Linked DNA regions of Caenorhabditis elegans. The protein of the gene in region 1 interacts with the protein of each later gene in a pairwise test. Each region holds a gene or a part of one and is shown on either strand. Other genes may lie near its edges.

What was found.
Region 2: the proteins of grd-12 (region 1) and ttr-54 interact in a two-hybrid assay, tested with the Caenorhabditis elegans proteins (one large-scale study listed by BioGRID).

The regions. Positions count from the first base shown.
Region 1 is NC_003283.11:14,973,805-14,982,873, forward strand, and holds grd-12 (Ground-like domain-containing protein), read left to right. Parts: upstream 1-4,700; 5' UTR 4,701-4,702; coding exon 4,703-4,783; exon of another isoform or gene 4,784-4,826; coding exon 4,827-4,916; intron 4,917-5,225; coding exon 5,226-5,639; intron 5,640-5,861; coding exon 5,862-5,981; intron 5,982-6,026; coding exon 6,027-6,179; 3' UTR 6,180-6,446; downstream 6,447-9,069. Other genes in the region: F02D8.1 (uncharacterized protein), read right to left, coding at 47-155; xbx-1 (Cytoplasmic dynein 2 light intermediate chain 1), read left to right, coding at 6,550-6,658, 7,013-7,071, 7,123-7,221, 7,272-7,360, 7,773-8,241, 8,433-8,528, 8,631-8,822.
Region 2 is NC_003282.8:10,152,103-10,160,709, forward strand, and holds ttr-54 (Transthyretin-like family protein), read left to right. Parts: upstream 1-3,672; 5' UTR 3,673-4,102; coding exon 4,103-4,258; intron 4,259-4,318; coding exon 4,319-4,485; intron 4,486-4,540; coding exon 4,541-4,634; 3' UTR 4,635-4,669; downstream 4,670-8,607. Other genes in the region: copg-1 (Coatomer subunit gamma), read left to right, coding at 236-971, 1,016-1,129, 1,176-2,310, 2,361-2,630, 2,681-3,009, 3,282-3,330; ttr-53 (Transthyretin-like family protein), read left to right, coding at 5,961-6,086, 6,166-6,333, 6,480-6,632.

The DNA.
Region 1 (9,069 bases):
TTTTGACTTAAAATTATTAACTCTCTAATTTTTTCCACGCACATACCATTATCCTTTTTTGGCAACAAATCCTCTTTGTCCTCTTCCCATTCAGTACTGGAGAACACATCAGAAATGGATTTTGACCTGATTCGAATTAAAGCGTTTGTTGTCATGGTAACACTTGATAGAAGAAAGCTGAAATTACTTATGTGGAGAGATTTCAGAAAACAAAATAACTAGTAAAGAAATTATAAAAGAGAAATTTTAAAAAGCAGAAATTTATATAGGAGAACACAAATTACTAACAAGAATACATTTTCGAAGGTACAACAGGAATTGTGACGCAACAGAAATGGAATTTGTCAGAATAGAACGCTTGATTTATGAGCAAGATAGAATAAAGAGAATGTAAGTTGAAATAAAAACTGAAAAATATATAATTCCAGAAAATAAGCATGAGTCTAAAAATACCTCCAAACCATATTCCTGGAAAATTAAAAGTTGATTAATTCGGAAAAAAGTTCTCACAGAAGCTCTAATTTAAGTCTTGTTAAGTTTGGTCTAGGTCTAGGTCTAGGTCTAGGTCTAGGTCTAGGTCTTAGTTTCGCATTTTCTTAATGTTTTTCAAAGATTCTGTAGCAGTTCAAAGTTCTGATTACGCCATTCTACTCCGAAGCGTTCAGCTAGTGTCAATTTTTACAAAACTGATCACTCTCATTATTTTTCTGTCTTCTGTGAACCGTTTTATTACCCCATCTTGACACCATTAAAGGTTCCAAATACCTATCGGCTGCAGTTCTCCGTGAAATCAGCAGATGCTAATCTTGCCTAATTTGCAATAATTCATCGTGACGGTGACGTGATTCAATGCAAAGGACTGCTAGTTAATTGGATCGCCCTCCTCAAAATATGCCACCAATTTTTCGGTTTTTTTCACGGCGATTTCTTTGCTGAGTTTCAAGAATAATTGGCAAGCGAGAAGTCGAAAAAACGAGGCGTTGAGAAGACGAGTTTCCGATGTTAATCAAGCAGAAGATTTTTGGAAAATTAAGTGGGGAAAAATATGTTGGAAATGATGAGTAGGCAGATTGAGATTGCATCTTTCGGTATATGTAGTATTTTGTTTTATTGAACATTAGTGTTTTGACGTAGCCACTGATATTAACCATTAAAGTTTATAAAGTTTTGGTTTAAATTTTAGTTTCAAAAACCTGGACCTAGACCTAGACCTAGGCCTACACCTAGACCTAGACGGATAATGTCGTCCTCTTTCCTTTTCGTAGTCATTACTTAGCCGAACTAATAAGTAACTAACAACCGGAAGAAATCTTCAAGACAAGCACATGTACATATATCTAGCGTTTCCTAATAAAACACTCTATTCCCGAGAAATTGTTCACTTTGAGGAACACCAAACAAGACAAATGTCGTCCAGAAAAATCACAAATTCATGCCCCTTTTATCAAAAAAACAACTTGCTACTTTTTGAACTTTGGCCACCGAGGCTATCAGTTTTATCAATTTTATCATTGCGAAAGTTCGAATCAAAAGTATCAGGAACACACCTAATTATTTTCTCATTGGAAATCCGTTCCTTCTCGACATTTCTCTATTTTTTAGAGGAGATACGAATGACATGATCGACTAGGGGGTAAGAAGGGCACCACTTTCGCCGGCAAAAAGCGGTGAAGCTATTCATCCAGCTGTTAATTGCATTAGAAATAGTCCTCTACAAGGTATGCTTAGAGACTATTTGTATGTTGCTTGTGCCTTCTGATACTTCTTCTTTTCTAGAAAAAGTAGTGAGAGTCTCAATCCAATTATACAGTCTTTTCAAAACAATGTGTATCGACGGTTATAATGCCCTGATTTGGAGTCATTTGGTTTTAGATTCATATTGGGAAAGCTTCTCATAAGGCTGCCCATTTTTAATTAGTACTTCATTCTCTTTTAGTTTTCAATTGGCAGACAGTTGTTTCAAAGCTTCTCCTCAGATTTTGAAAAAATCCAATTCTATTATAAAATTTATTTTCGATTTGTTTTGTTTTGTATAGGCTTTAGGAACAGCTGGTTCATGATCTCCAGAAAATTGTGCCAAAATTTCACGCGTTCGTTTGAACCGGCACCAAACGGTGCATTTAGTGTGACGTTTTATTATATTTTAGAATGTTCTGGAGAACACACTGGAAAGGCCTACTTTTCAGACGTCGCGGAAAATTTTCTGAATTGCGTGTGACGTCACAAAAACACATAAAAAATGTGCCGATACTTCAAGGGATCTCGCTATGTAGGGACTCTTTTAGCAAATCTCAATTGAGACCTCAGAATTAATCTGCCAATATGAAGGCTCTGTAAATGTCACACAGAACCTGATAATTTTTTAGTATGAAAAAAATAGTTATAGAAAATTCTAATTTCTCAAATCGTAAAATTTTGAAACTCAATAAGAAACTTAAACTTTTGTGATATGTGAACTGAAAATAATGTGTACTTTTACCATTAATCTAGCCGAAAATGTTCACCTCATTGCGCTTTAACACACTATTTTGTAGCTTTTAGCTGGATAAGTTGTGAGTAACAACCGTCATGCCTATCAACTGCCTGCGTGCCTACAATAAGGTTCCAAGCCTACCTACACTTATTTTGTCATGAGTCCCCATTCCGATTCATTCACGAATTTTCCTGAACGGGAAAGCAGGCGTAGGTAGACTTCAACCCATGTCTTGCGCGCTCGTAACCTCAGAAGATGTCTGGATAAAAATCATTCCAAAATAGGCATAGGCCGCCTCCCAGGCTGAGTGTTCATGGGTGCTTGTAGGCATACAGGTAGACTTATAACGCTTGCGCGACAAACTCAGAGAGTTGCTTGGCTACGTTTTAAATTTTCCAGTTTCGAATAACTTTAAATATACCCCCCCCCCCCCCCCAGTTATGAGCTGCCAAGCTTGAACGATACCACACTGTAAAAAAGAAAAGCTGGGAGAAAGGGGCGCCTTCCATGACACCTTCGCCTAGAATTAGGTCTAAGTTTAGATCTAGTCCCCTTTTTTCTAAACTTCTTCTTCAGTTCCTAGTGTCTAGTTTACAGGTAATCTCTTAATTTCATCTGATTTTGTCTTCCAACTAAACTTTTGATTTCTGCCACGCCAGATTTTTGGAATGGCGTCAGCTGCTTCAAAATACTAAAAAAATCTAATCGAAGATCAAGATAATCCGAAAAATCAAATACAACCTTGGCAATAGTACAAGTGTCTGGCCGCTGTGGAAAACAATCATTTTCACTGTTTTCTTAACAAGAAATGCCATTTGCGGCAAATATTCATCCAATTAACAAATTACACGGGGTCTCTCATGCATCTAAGTGCGGTTTATTACAAGTATATGGGGAATCCACTCTGTGGATATAACCGTCTAGAATGTTCCACACATCTAGTTTTCAATTGTGTTGTTGACTTAAAAACTTTGGCATCTACTTTCAGGGTTTTGTATTAAACTAAAGTACTTTGAAGGCATTTTCCAGTTCTTCTAGTCGCTTTAAAGATTAGTATTTGGAAAAATTGAAGAATTCTAGCCTAGCAGTTCACACCTATAATTAACTATTTTTCTCACAAGGGCTTTACAGTTTTGGCTAGATTCTCAGTTTTCAAAGACTACCCCTCAATTCTGTTCCCTCTCCGGAATTCTCACTTTCACAGATTTGTTTTCTCATCCAAACGGACTGTGATTATGTATGCATTTCCTTCTTCTTCTTTTCTTTTCCTCAATGTTTTTCGGCTTTACCTTCCCCTTCTCACATGCCAAAACAGTGTGTTTATATCTCGAGATTCCTGGGAGGGAAAACTGCGTTTCCCATGTGTCGATTCTAATTGATTTGTTAGCCGTTTGATGCGCTTTTTGTGAACACAAAAAGCACGGTGTTTCCGCCCTTTTGTTCGAGATTTGTGACCAAAGCTAGCGCGGCTTATATGGACGTTTGGACTGTTATAGGCTACGGTTTCGGATTTCAATCTCCTTGAACCTATTTATCTCTTGATTTTTTTGTTTTTTTATTGTTTGTTTTGTTTTTGAAAATACTAGGAACTTGCAGTTAATAGAATGTGAATTAAGTTTAGATAATTACTTTTGCGTTGAAATTTTTCTAAAATAAACTCAAATAAAAAACAAGAGTCAGTTTGTCAAATTGAAGTTTATGAGCTAATAAATGTAAAAACCTCCATTATGCTGCACTTGTTGTAGTTATTTCAATTTACAGCTAGGTAGGTCTACTTCCTAGAGCCCAACTTCCAACTGAGCATTTGGCTTGAAAAATATGCTACTGGAAAACTAAAAACTTCCCCGTCAGTAAATTTCAAGAGACTAGAGTTTCCAAGAGCCTAGTAAAAGACTAGTGGAAATATGGAAGTTTACCTCTGAAAATCTGATTTAAACAATGAAATTTTTAGCTTTCCACCAATCAACTGAATTTCTGTTTGTTGCCGTGCAACGCTCTTTAGGGTTTTAATAAAATTAGTACCGTTTTTTTAACTTTCAAAAGTCGGAATTTGGATTTTGCAGAAATATTTTAAAACTTAATTCACAAGGTTGGCTTTTTTTAGTAAGAAATCTACAGGCTGTCAATAACCATTTCCTCGTTTTTGAAGTTTCAATTTCTCTCTATTTTCTACACCACTTCTCTCTACTTTTTACTCTAATTTTCTTCTCATTTCAATAATTTTCAGAAATGTTACACAGGCCGAAACTTACAGTAATCCTATCAGTATTACTCACCTTCCGGTTAGCGGATTGCTGGTTCCTCTCAATGGTGCGTTTTCATGGATATTCAATTTAGAACAAAATTATTTCAGCTCGGTGGTGGTGCTGGTGGTTGCCAAAATCAATGTCCGCCAGCTTACTCTGGGTATTATCAATCTCGGAATTATAATCCTCCGCAACAGGTAATCTGACGATAAAGATTTGGAAGGTGCAAAAACTAATGAGTAGACATTTTTCTGATAAGAATAGAAAATGAGCTGGTGATAAAGCTCCTGGCAAACTCTCACGCCTCCTACTTTCAGTCCAATGAGCATTGTGAGAAACTTGAAGAAAATTCGAAGAAAAAATAATTCAGAAATAGAAATTGATATGGTGACTGATTTTCAGAGTATTAGAGTGGGAATTCATTTGGCTGATAACTCAACCAATTTTTTGTTGAATCTTAGAATGGCCTTGGCAAATCTAAATTTGTAAAGCCTAAAACTTTTCAGCGATTCAACTACGGTTTGCCTCCTCCAACACCGCCTGCAAATTCATATGCAACTGCTCCAGCAAACTATGCGGCTCCTTCAAACGCCTACCCATTTGCTCCTCAATACTCAATTCCAATGAACTCATATGCTATGCCAAAATACGCAGTTGCTCCCCAATATGCAATGGTTCCATATCCAACCCCTCCAGCTTACGTTAGACCTCCACCGGTTTATGTCACACCTCCACCTGTATATATAACCCCACCACCAACTACAACTACTACAATTCCACCACCAAAATGTTTCCAAAACACTCAGGGATACAAATGTTGCAATCGACAGTTGGATCAATTTTTAGAACAGAAAGTTGGAGAGATGTTGAAGCCAGAATGGCAGAGATGTAATCTGCAACGATTTGCAACACAGCTTCAGGTTTGGTTCAGGGTCATTTTATTGATTTGCATATTAGGAGAGAAGTTGGGTGGGGTCGTTCTCAAGGTTCGGAGATTGAACTGCGAATTGAGGGGACTAGGTATAAGTTTAGATCATTTGAAACAGGATAAATTGAAGTGTTTTCAAAAAACTTAATTTTTTAGCCGTTTCTTTTGAAACAGTTGTCAAGTGCTCTACATAAAAAAATCTAAATGTTTTCAGCACGAAACGCAACAAATGTTCAATCATTCAATGGAAGCAATCGTTGCCAGTGGAGAAGTACAAAATCTTTCAAATTACCGCGGAGACCTTTATTGCAAAAAGCGGAGTCGAGACGGAAAGGTATTATTCACATATCTACTTATCGAATCAAAATCTAAATTTCAGATTGTTGTGATATATGGCTCAGCAGTTCCATATTCTCTAGATACCGGAGTGACTCGTCCAATGAACGATGACGAGTTGAGAACTCAAATGTATCCGGCTAAGTATGATGAAATTGGAGTGCATGATGGACATGAAGAGAACATTTGGTTCTAGGAATATTTATTTGAATTAATTCTTGTTTTTAATTATTTCGAAGTAGCCTATTTATAATTGTTGAAATCTTTTTTAAATATTTCCAAAAATTTCCAAATTTCCATCTCCAAAATTGATCTTGAATTTATTCTCCAGCCAATTCTTTTTCATCTTTTATTTTTTTTCAGCTTTTTATTATTTTAACTTTATACTTTGAATTAATAATTATATATTTCTTTTTTTCATATTGTTCTATGCTCACTTGTATATAAAAGGAAATAAAGTTCTCTCCTCGTTTCTTGTTGAACGCCCGTTTCCATGGTAACCGTCATTTTCGGAGTGCAGCGGAGCATTTTACTCCTTTTTCTCCAATATTGCTCAATTTATTAGTATGAACATTTGGGATCTTGCCAAACAGAAATTAGTGGAAAATAAGCAACGAGCTGCAGAGCTAAAACAGAAATTAGATGATGAAAATGGAACACAAAGTGATAATTATTGTGAGTTTTTTTTGTTAATTTTATTTAATTATTTGTGAAATTTTAGTTCAATCTTGAAAATAAAAAACTCTAAAATATTAAATCTTCTGTTAAAATAATTTCAATTCCGAAAACAAGTTTTCTATCTGAAAGGGAAATTTTTTGAGAAAAGTTGTTGTTTTTATCCTATATTTTTGTTTTTTTTTGTAATTTTTTTATTATCAGAAAAAATATTATATCTCACAAATTTCAAAAAAAATTGTCAGAAAATGTTTTTGTAGGAATATTCTGGATAAAAAATTTCACAACAAATATGTAACAGTCGAAATATGAGCTTCTGGAAAATGATATTTACTTTTTTTAAACAAATTTCAGTATCAGAAGTTCGTCGGAGACACGAATCGCATATCATTTTTGCTGGGAATCGAAAAAGTGTACGTTTTTTTCTAATTTTTTAGAAGTCTTCATTTTGAGTAGTTTTTCAGGGAAAATCCTCATTCATGCTGAATTTCCTAGAACGAAAAGAAGATTTGAAGGATTCCGTAGGATTGGAATACACTTATGCCAGGAGAACTCGAGGAAATGTGAGTTACTTTTTTTTAGGCTTAAATTTGAAATAGAGATTATGATTTAGGTGAAAGATATCGCGAATTTGTGGGAGCTTGGTGGTGGAGCAACTGTTACGGAACTGCTTTCAGTTCCTATCACAATGAAAAATGTCGAGTGAGTTTTTTTTTCAAATCAGTGTAGTTAGTTTTTACATTTGCGCAGTATGAGGAGTGGAGTGTTTCACTCTAATAGGCTCACATGGCAAAAAAAAGACAAAAAAAGACATACATAGGTTCAAAAACAACTACACTAAGAACAAGGAAACGTCTTGTCAAGAAGTTTATATCTATTCCTACAGCTAAAGAATCAAAAATTCAATTTAGAAATAAGTGAGTCAATGAGAGATGAGTCAATAAGTATTCACCTTATTCGTGCGGGGGGCTGAGCTGGATGAATCATTCGCCAATACAGTTAGGAAAGCGTTTTTCAGATATTCAGCCTTTCAGATATTCAGCTTTTTAGATATTAGGTTTGAGTATGAACTGCTCCGTAATATTTTTCAACAAATATCATTTCTACTTTTCAGAATTTGCTCTTTGATCTTGCTTCTCGATATGACAAATCTTGACGAAATGTGGATAACAATCGAAAAAACGGTGGACTCTGTTCGACGCCTCGTTGAGAATCTCGAACGGCAAGATATTAACCTCCAAACTCGCTTGGCTGAAAAAATGCGTCTCCGCCTCGAAAAATACGACGATGGAAGTTTGAAGATGTGCAATCCATGTCCTATACCGGTGACTATTGTCGCTTCGAAATACGATGAATTTCAAAATTTTGAATCTGAAAAACGACGGCATCTTTGTCAGTTTCTTCGATTCCTCGCCTATTCGTATGGAGCGAATTTGATGATGTTTTCGTCGAGAATGGAACAATTTCCGAAGCTCGTGAAGAATATGACGAGTCATTTCGCATTTGGCACTGTTTGTCCGCAAGGTTATATGACTGATCATAATAAACCAATGTTTGTGAAATGCGGTTTTGATAGTTTAGAGGTGAGCGTTCGAATAGATTTCAATCAACACAATCTGCCTACCTACATACCTCACTTTTTACCTACACAGTTCAAGACAGTCAACTCTTACAAATTTTTTTTTTTCGTTTACATAAATTGGCAACACTTCTTGTTCGCGTTCTGAAACTCCTACGTTTTCGTTGTTTCCCCCAACAAGAATTATGTTTTCAGTCTATTGGAATACCTCCTGCATCAGACAATTTTATGGGAGCTTCATCCCCATTCAATTTATGGAGAGAGTCATTTATCAGCCTCTGGCCTCAAAAGGTAAGTGGAGCACCTTCTTGCCTGCCTTCTTGGTTAAAATTTTTAAAAATAGATAGGAGACAGGCAAGCATCAGGCTAGCACGCATATCTATCTTTTTACAGACTGGGACAATTGACATTGAGGATACAAAGAAACAAGATCCAATGATTGATCCGGTATTTAAAGAGCCGAATATTGACAATCTTGTGGAAATCAAGCGGAAAGAACTCAAAAATCACATAAGATCAAAGAGAGATCGGGAGGCTGCAGAGGCACGTGCGGCCGATCGAATCGCAAAAATTAATGTTCGATAATCTGAATTTATTTGAACTGTGAAATGAATCTGGTAGTTTTTAATTGAAATTCAAAGATTAGAGAGTGATGGACATTTGATTTTATTGTGTGAATGTTTGTAATTTTTTTCGAGTATCTATGACAATTTGTAAGGAAAATGTTTGAGTTCCCAATTTGTGTAGTATAGTTTTTTTCCAAAAAAAAACTTCTACATGGCAATTTTTCAAGAGTACTTCAATTTTCAAGATTTTCAACTTTTTTTTGGGT
Region 2 (8,607 bases), on another chromosome or scaffold:
CTTTGTGCTTGTAGTCGCTCCTTGATTGTGCATGACTTTTCTCTCGCTTCTCAATAGAACACGTTGGTTTTTCTCATTATTCGATTAATCAGTAGCAAAACAGTGTATCCTCGAAAAATCATAAATGTTGGGTTCCTAATTTTTGCCATCAGAATTCGAAGTCGGCCGAATGATTTTGAGTTACTCCGTTATACATTCTTCGCGCCACAAAAAATGTAATGGTTTTATTTTCCAGGTCAATCTTCAAGAATGAAGACCAACAAGAAGGATGAGGAAACCGGGGGAAACGTCTATGCTCACCTCGATAAGACCTCCGTTCTTCAGGAAGCTCGCGCCTTCAACGAGACACCGATCAACGCGAGGAAATGTTGTTTCATCTTGTCGAAGTTGATTTACATCATTCAACAAGGAGAATCAATCGGAAGAACAGAAGCAACTGAGGCCTTTTTTGGTGTCACAAAGCTTTGGCAGAGCAAGGATGTCAGTCTACGCCGCATGGTTTATCTCGCTGTGAAGGAATTGGCTGAAGTTTCTGATGATGTCATTATTGTCACTTCAAGTCTTACAAAGGATATGACTGGAAGAGAAGATCTCTACAGAGCAGCTGCGATACGTGCTCTTTGCAAGATTACCGACACTGGAATGTTGCAAACTATTGAAAGATACATGAAACAGGCTATCGTTGATCGAAACAGTGCGATTTCTTCATCGGCTATCGTCTCTTCCATTCATTTGATGCGTAAGTCTTCCGAGGTAGTTCGTCGTTGGGCTAATGAAGTACAAGAAGCTGTTTCATCGGACAACCACATGGTTCAATACCACGCTCTGGCCCTTCTCTATCAAATCCGTGCCAACGATCGTCTCGCTGTGAACAAACTCGTCCAGAAGTTCAGCAAAAATGCTCTTCGTAGTCCATATGCTGTGTGCTATTTGATCCGCATTGCCACTAGATGTCTTGTCGATGACGATCAGTAAGGGTTTTAATTGAACGTATGGTTCGATAATCAATTAAAAGTTGCAGGCCAGATTCTTCTGTTTTCACATTCATTGAATCGTGTCTTCGTCACAAGAGCGAGATGGTAGTCTATGAAGCAGCTAGAGCCATTGTTTCACTTCCACAAACCACTCCGTAAGCATTGTATAATTTCTGAGTAAATTTATATTTCATTTTGCAGATCGGAGATTCAGCCAGCAATCACTGCTCTGCAAATGTGCTGCACTTCTCCAAAAGCAGCAGTTCGCTTTGCCGCAGTTCGAACTCTCAACAAAGTCGCAATGGCTCACCCGAACGCAGTTATGAGCTGCAATGTGGATCTTGAGAAGTTCATAACGGACCCGAACAGATCTATTGCAACTCTTGCCATCACCACCCTCCTCAAGACTGGAGCCGAGTCTAGTGTTGAAAGACTCATGCAACAAATCGCTGGCTTCGTAAACGAGATCTCGGATGAGTTCAAAATTGTTGTGGTCGATGCTATTCGCTCACTGTGCTCACGTTATCCTCGAAAGCATACTGTTATGATGCCTTTCCTTGCTAAGATGTTGCGTAGTGACGGAAGTTACGATTACAAGAAAGCAATTGTGGAAACTATTATTGCAATCATCGAAGAGAATCCAGATGCTAAAGTTGCTGGATTGGCTCACCTTTGCGAATTCATTGAAGACTGTGAGCACGATAATCTTTCTACTCGTGTTCTTCATCTCCTCGGGAGAGAAGCTCCAAAAACTCCAAACCCATCAAGCTACATTCGATTCATCTACAACCGCGTAATTTTGGAGAGCACCAAAGTTCGGGCCGCTGCAGTTACAGCTCTCGCCAAATTTGGAGCACAGTGCGTTGATTTGCGTCCATCGATTCAAGTTCTTCTGAAACGCTGCCTTTTGGATTCTGATGACGAAGTTCGTGATCGTGCCACCTTCTACCTCAAAATGCTTACTGAAGCAGCCGAAGGCCTCATTCACAACTTTATTCTTGACGGACTTCAAGTTTCGCCATCTGGTCTCGAGCGCTCAATTCTTGACTATCTCCGATCCGGATCTTACTCTTCTCCATTTGATCTTCGAGTTGTTCCTGTTACTCAACAAGCTCTTTCTCAACCTGAAAAACGTGTTCCTCAACTTGTGGAAGAAGAAGAGAAACCGAAAGCTCCTAAAGTTGAGCCATATGCTGCACAGCTGGCTGCTATTCCACAGTTTGCTGCTCTTGGTCCAGTCTTCAAGTCATCTACCAGAATTGCTCTCACGGAATCAATTGCTGAATACACTGTTCATATGATCAAGCATACATTTGCCAATGCCATGGTTCTGCAGGTATTTAAAAATAGTGAACTTTTGAAATCAATTATCGAATTTATTTTCAGTTTGAATGCAAAAATACAATGAATGACCAGCTTCTTCTTGATGTTTCTGTTGAATTGGAAGATCCAGATGGAGAATGGGAAACTGGAAATACTGTTCAAATTGATAAACTTCCCTATGGAGAAGTTCATTCAGCCTTTTCACTTCTAGAATTCCCTGATTCTGGAGCCATCTCTGGAAGTTTAGGTGCTATTCTCAAGTTCAAGGTGATGGATGTAGATCCAACTTCCGGGGAACCTGATTCGGATGACACATACGAGCAAACATATGTGGTACGCTGTAGAATTCTTAATACATTTTTATAATTCTAAATTATTTTCAGCTGGAAGAAGTTGATGTTAATGTGTCGGATTCGGTTCAAGGAGTCGCAAAATCTTCATTTGGATCTGCTTGGGAAGCGTTGGGAGACGATGCAACAAGAGAAGAAACATTCCAATTGTCAACAGTGGAAAATATTCCTGATGCTGTCAAGAAAATATCTGAAATTTTGGGACTTGTTCCTTGTGAACGGTCCGATCGTGTTCCTGAAGGAAAGACGCAACACACAGTGTTCCTTTCCGGAGTTTTTCGTGGTGGATATGATGTTCTTTCGAAAGCCACGGTCGCGGTGGATCCAAACGACAATTCAATTGCCATGAATATTATTATCAAGTACGTTTTTTTCAAACATTTTTTGATATTGTATCCCAATTAGGTCAATCATATATTTGCTCCAAAATAAAATCTAGTACATATTTACATAATATTTATTAAACTTTTTAATTGATTTTAAGTGGAATCAGACAGTAATAATTGTTTGCAAAATTTTTCGAATTATGAAATAGCATTAAAATTGAAATTTAAAATTAAGCATTTTTAATGGTTTTGAGTCATTTCCTGATCTCTACTAATAGTAAGCACAATTTGAAATTCTAAAATTACAGATCGAATGAACCACTCGTCGCAGATTTGGTTATCTCCGCAGTTGTCTAAAATTATTCGGGAATGTCCTGCGCCGCTGTTTTTCTGATTTTAAATGTCACCGCATGTTTTTTTTTCTAATTTATTGACCGGCGTTCGACAATTGTGATGTATGTGTGTTTTAATTGGTATTTTTGCTTCTTATTTATTGTGCGTTTTCGTGTTTATAGCTATTGCTTCCAAAAAAATTGAAAAAATAAAATGGGAAGTCTCATTATACCTTCCTCGAGTTTACTGGTTACACAATAGAACACATGTTATAATTAATTTTTCCGGATCCTAACTAAAATGGGTTGGTAAGTTAAAGTTTCCAAAACAAGCTTGTTCGGCATCTTAATAGTTAGAGCAAAAAAAAGGATTGATCGATTCACCGAGCAGCTGTTCTCTTTTTTTTTGTGAAGAGCCGGATGATCACCAGGTCTCTTGAAATCTCGTGATATTTCGCTTCCGATTGAAAGTTTCGCAGTTTGTCGCCTCGAAAAATGAAAATATGTGACTCTAAAGCTATTTTTTAAAGTTTTTGTTACCGTAACATTAACAGTTATTATCGATTTCTGGTTTAACGTTGTCGTGAAATTGTGCACATTGGCCACACACTGTGAAGGTGCTAAGAAAAATGACCACTAGGTAACCCAAGAGCAATGTAAACAATTCTCGTTGTCTGTACTGACTCACTTCTTTGAGAAATCGTTTCTTTTCTTCACTTTTGTATTTTTTTAATCGAACCTTTCCGCAACCAAATCTTAAATCTTGAGATTTATTAAAGTTGACTCAAAAATTGAAAATGCGAGCACCTGTGACATTTCTAATCTTGTGCTCACTGGCTCTTCTCTGTTCATCAGCTAACAACTGTGCCTGGTTTGTCGGTCAATTACAATGTACGGACACTTCGAAATTGGAAAATGTGGTTGTAGAAATTTGGGACAAGGATCGATCTTTTGTAAGTTTTTTTATTTTTGAAATGTCGTTAATGTTGAACTGAAAAAAAATTAAATTACAGTTTCCAATTACTTTATTCGTTGATGATGATTTGGCTGGAAGAACTATTACTTCTGCAGATGACAATGGAACATTCAAAGTGGAAGGATGTGCTTCTGACCTCGATTTTCTTTTTATCAAAAATGAACCAGAATTTTATTTGAAAATTCGACACTACTGCAAAGGAAAGTGAGTTACAAAGCACTTGCTTCATAATAAATATTTAAATTTTTAATTATTTCAGGGCAGAAGTGACGCTTGTACACCCGAAAAATCCGAAGGTGTTCGTTCCACAAACTAACGATTATTTCACAAAACATCCTATTATTTTGGGATAGATGTTTAAGAGTTCAATAAATGTATTTTATATTTGAATTTTCTACACACAAATGTTGTTTAATTGGTCTTCCAATCCATAACTTATTTTATCAAACTAAACTTGGCAAAAAAGTTGAAATTGAACATGTCATATCATCAATTAAAATGTAGCTATGACCTTCCCCAAAATTCTACATTGGAATCATCAGAAACTAGTCAGTTTGATCGCTTTTCAATGATTAATTCTCCAACCTCCCTCAAGGTTTTTCTATTCAATCGATTCTTCACGATATGGGTGTCCTCTTTCTTTTTGGTGGATTTTCCTGTTCTTATCATCCATTTGTTTCCGAGAAACATGGAAAAAGGACACAATATTTTTCACTGGCTAATAGAAATAGTATAGTTTTATTTTTATAGCTGTGAATTAAGAATAAAAATGAAAATAAAATCAAAAATCTTCTCGCAGAAGGCACCGTACACTAACAATTTGGGCGCAAGTCCAAAAGCGTCGCTGCGGTCTCGTAGCGATGTGTAAATATTTTTCCTCAGTAGCTATGCGCCTTTGAATATTGGTACTGTCACAACTATAGTGTTTCCTCAATTTTGTTTTTTATTTCTCGAGATTTCTCTTCTAATTTAAGAAATCTTAACTAGTTTGAATTATTTTTTAGTGTTTAAATGATATTTAGTTGTCCAATTCTTTAGTTAAAATTCCGTGCGTTTTAACCTCACTTTTCCATCGTTTCAGTTTCAGACACGAGAAACTGGTTCAAGAAATACTTCAAACTTTCTTTTTCTCTTCATTCTTGAAAATTTTACTTTTTCTTGTTTGTTTTGGCAATTCAATCTGTTTCGATCCAACCACAAATGTTTGACGTCATCCGGCAGTTGTGAATAGCTTGATTTTCATTTTGCGGCAGCTTCACCGTATTCTTTGTGTCAATCAAGAATTTTTATAAATGAGTAGTTGGAGGTGTCAATCATTAGGCCTCAGACAATCAAAACTCCATTTTTCAATATATTTAATTTTCAATGCAGTTTGTTTCTAACGTTTCCAACTTTAATCCCACAAAAAATGACGTGCGAATGATTCATAATAATCTGAAATTTAGTTTAGTTTATCCAACTCCTTGTTTATGGTGAAATTGGTGAATAAAAAATAAAAGTGGCACATGTTTTTAATTGAAAAATAAATTGAACATTCAAAATCCTATTATAATCCGTTATTCTCCCTTTTGATGAAACATCGATCTGTTCTGAAATGAAATCATTCAAAATATTTCGTTTCTGAATCCATTCTGTCCAACTTTCCTTTTTTCAGATTTAACATAAAATAACCACTAACAATGCTCAAATCGCTTATAATTATCTGCGTTTCCATTCTTCCCATATCTCTTGCTGGTAGAGAATGTGTCTGGGTTCTAGGAAAAGTCGAATGTCAAAATGATCCGACCAAGAATCTGAATGTTGAGGTTAGATTTTTATCAGTTTCTCCTGAAATTGATAGTGAATTCATTTTTGCAGAAATATTTCAACAAAACACTATTTCAGATTCGTGTCTGGGATCGTGATGGTCCAGGACCACTTCAAATGATAGACCCAGATGATTTGATGGGTGTCACATTTTCCAATGATGACGGACGTTTCCAATTGGACGGATGTGGAGATGATTTCGATTGGATTCCGGGAGTTAAGAATGTTCCAGAACCATATATTGAAGTTAGTTTTTTAATCATCAGTTCGATATCAAAAATGTTGTTTTCCAAGTTTCATTGAATTTTTGAAACATTACGAGCCTATGAAATTCAAAATCTTTAAGAAAACTGTTATAATTTTTCTGTAATCTACTAAAAGATAATTTTCAGATTCGTCATTACTGTAACAGTGAAAAAGGAGACATCTTCCAACTTCCAGAATTCAGTACTTTTGTTCCAAATACCTATGATATCGGAACCATCGTTCTTGACAAGGAGACTCGTGGAATTAAAACGACACAGAAAGCTGATCCAACTCAATAATTTATTCTTTTCCATTTTAATCTTTTTTATCCCATTTGCCATTCATCGCGTTATTCATTCCAAAATCTTGTTTGTTTTGTACTTTTATCTTCATATCTAAATATTTGTACAGTCGGAATTTGAATTATTTTCTATGAATTCAAAACTCATTCCCACTTTAAATCGTTCCCATCAATTGTTTTCTTGCCTCGATTTTCTTCTGTGATTTCACTTCCTTCTTGCATAACATTTTTGAATTTTTTTTTCATTAGTCTTCAGTTTTACTAATTTTTGGTGTTTAACCAAGCTATGAACTATCTACTAACCTCTCCAGGAAGACTTCAAGTACGAAGTAAAAAAAAATCACTCATCGCAGTTGTCCCATGAAAATCCTGGAAATGTGTGGTTTTTCTCTAGTTTTACGGTTTAGTGTATTTCAGCAAAACCCTATAAACTCTACTCAGAATGAACACTCCATTCAAACTTGAATACTTGAATACTTTTTAATTTCAATGAAAAATTTCGCAAATATGATACCTGTAAACCAAAATTTACCACCATACATGATCTACTTCAATTTCATCTAGATCATTCATATTTTTTTGAATTTTTCTTTTAAAAAGTGAACATTGCTCGAAACTTTTTTTTTATATTTTGTGCTTTTCAAAACTTTAGTTCAAAAATATACTTTTTGAACGTTTTCTGTCATTCATAAAATACCAAATAACATTTCCTTCTAGTATTTGATGTTTGTCAAATATCCATAGACCTAGGTTCAATTCGCCAACTTACTAGGTATCTACAACGAACATGGACTAACCTATTCGAATTATAAATTTGCCTTTGAACACGAAAAATTGAAAAGATCAGTGCCAAATTAAACATTAGAGAGATGAAGAACACTTTCGAAAATCCGGATTAGCCGCCATCCATTGGTTTGTAGCCTTTTTTGATTAAAACGAGAATACAGAGAAACACCAGAGACAGTGCGGCTTTTCAATTCATTTTTGTTCATTGTCTCCTTTTTTCTCCACACAATTCAATATTTTTTCGTTTCTTTTTTCCAAATATTTGCAAAGCTGTCGCTCTTCCTTTTTAGTGATTTTAGCTGGCTATTAGATTGAAAATGTCTGAAATCTTAAGTTTCGATCTAATAAATGAAGCATCCTTCGACCATTCAGGTTTATAACGTTCTTTTTCGTTGATTTTGCATCCTCATTTAGCAGTCTTATCTAATTTTCAAAATGATTTTTAATTCAGATTGTCTGTGAAAAAATCGGATAGAAATGTGAAAAACCATGTATGGGAAAGCGTTTAAAAGGAAAAAAATATGTTTCACCTTCAGTCCATTTCCTTTAAAAATCATTTCATTGAATTCGTTTTGTTTTAAAATTATATCTCGCATCGAATTTTGTCTCGCAATAATTTTGTTTCAAAAAATGAATTATGAACTTTCAAACAGTTTTTGAAAATAGTTGTGGTAGTCCTTTAGGAAGTCTTAAAATTAACCAATTTGTTGTCAAATTCCTCATTGAAATTTTCAACTACTAACCGATCAATTTTGCGATTACTGAATCTTCCAAAAACTGCCTACCTGCCTTAATCAATGCCTATCTTGCCTCGGTCGGGTGTTCATCATCTTCAAGGCAAGATATGCCTACCTTGAAGGCACGCATGTGGGTATTGCCTAGACAAATGTAATTCCTAGTTTTTCGCTGAGTTTATAGTTTTTAGTTTTAAAAACTTTGTAATCAGAAGCCCAAGTATATTCTAATTCGGTCCAAATAATAGCTTGTTGTCTTCTTTCGTTAATTGTGTGTACCACTTTGTAAGCATTGAGTATAAGACTATACACAAGATACTCAGGCAACTCAAATCTAATATGAAAATATTAAATAGCAATATTTTTGTAGTTGGGTGATATTTTAAGATAAAATCGCAATATTCCGAGACTTATTCGAAATCTTTTTAGATTGAGCAATCTTTTGAGAATATT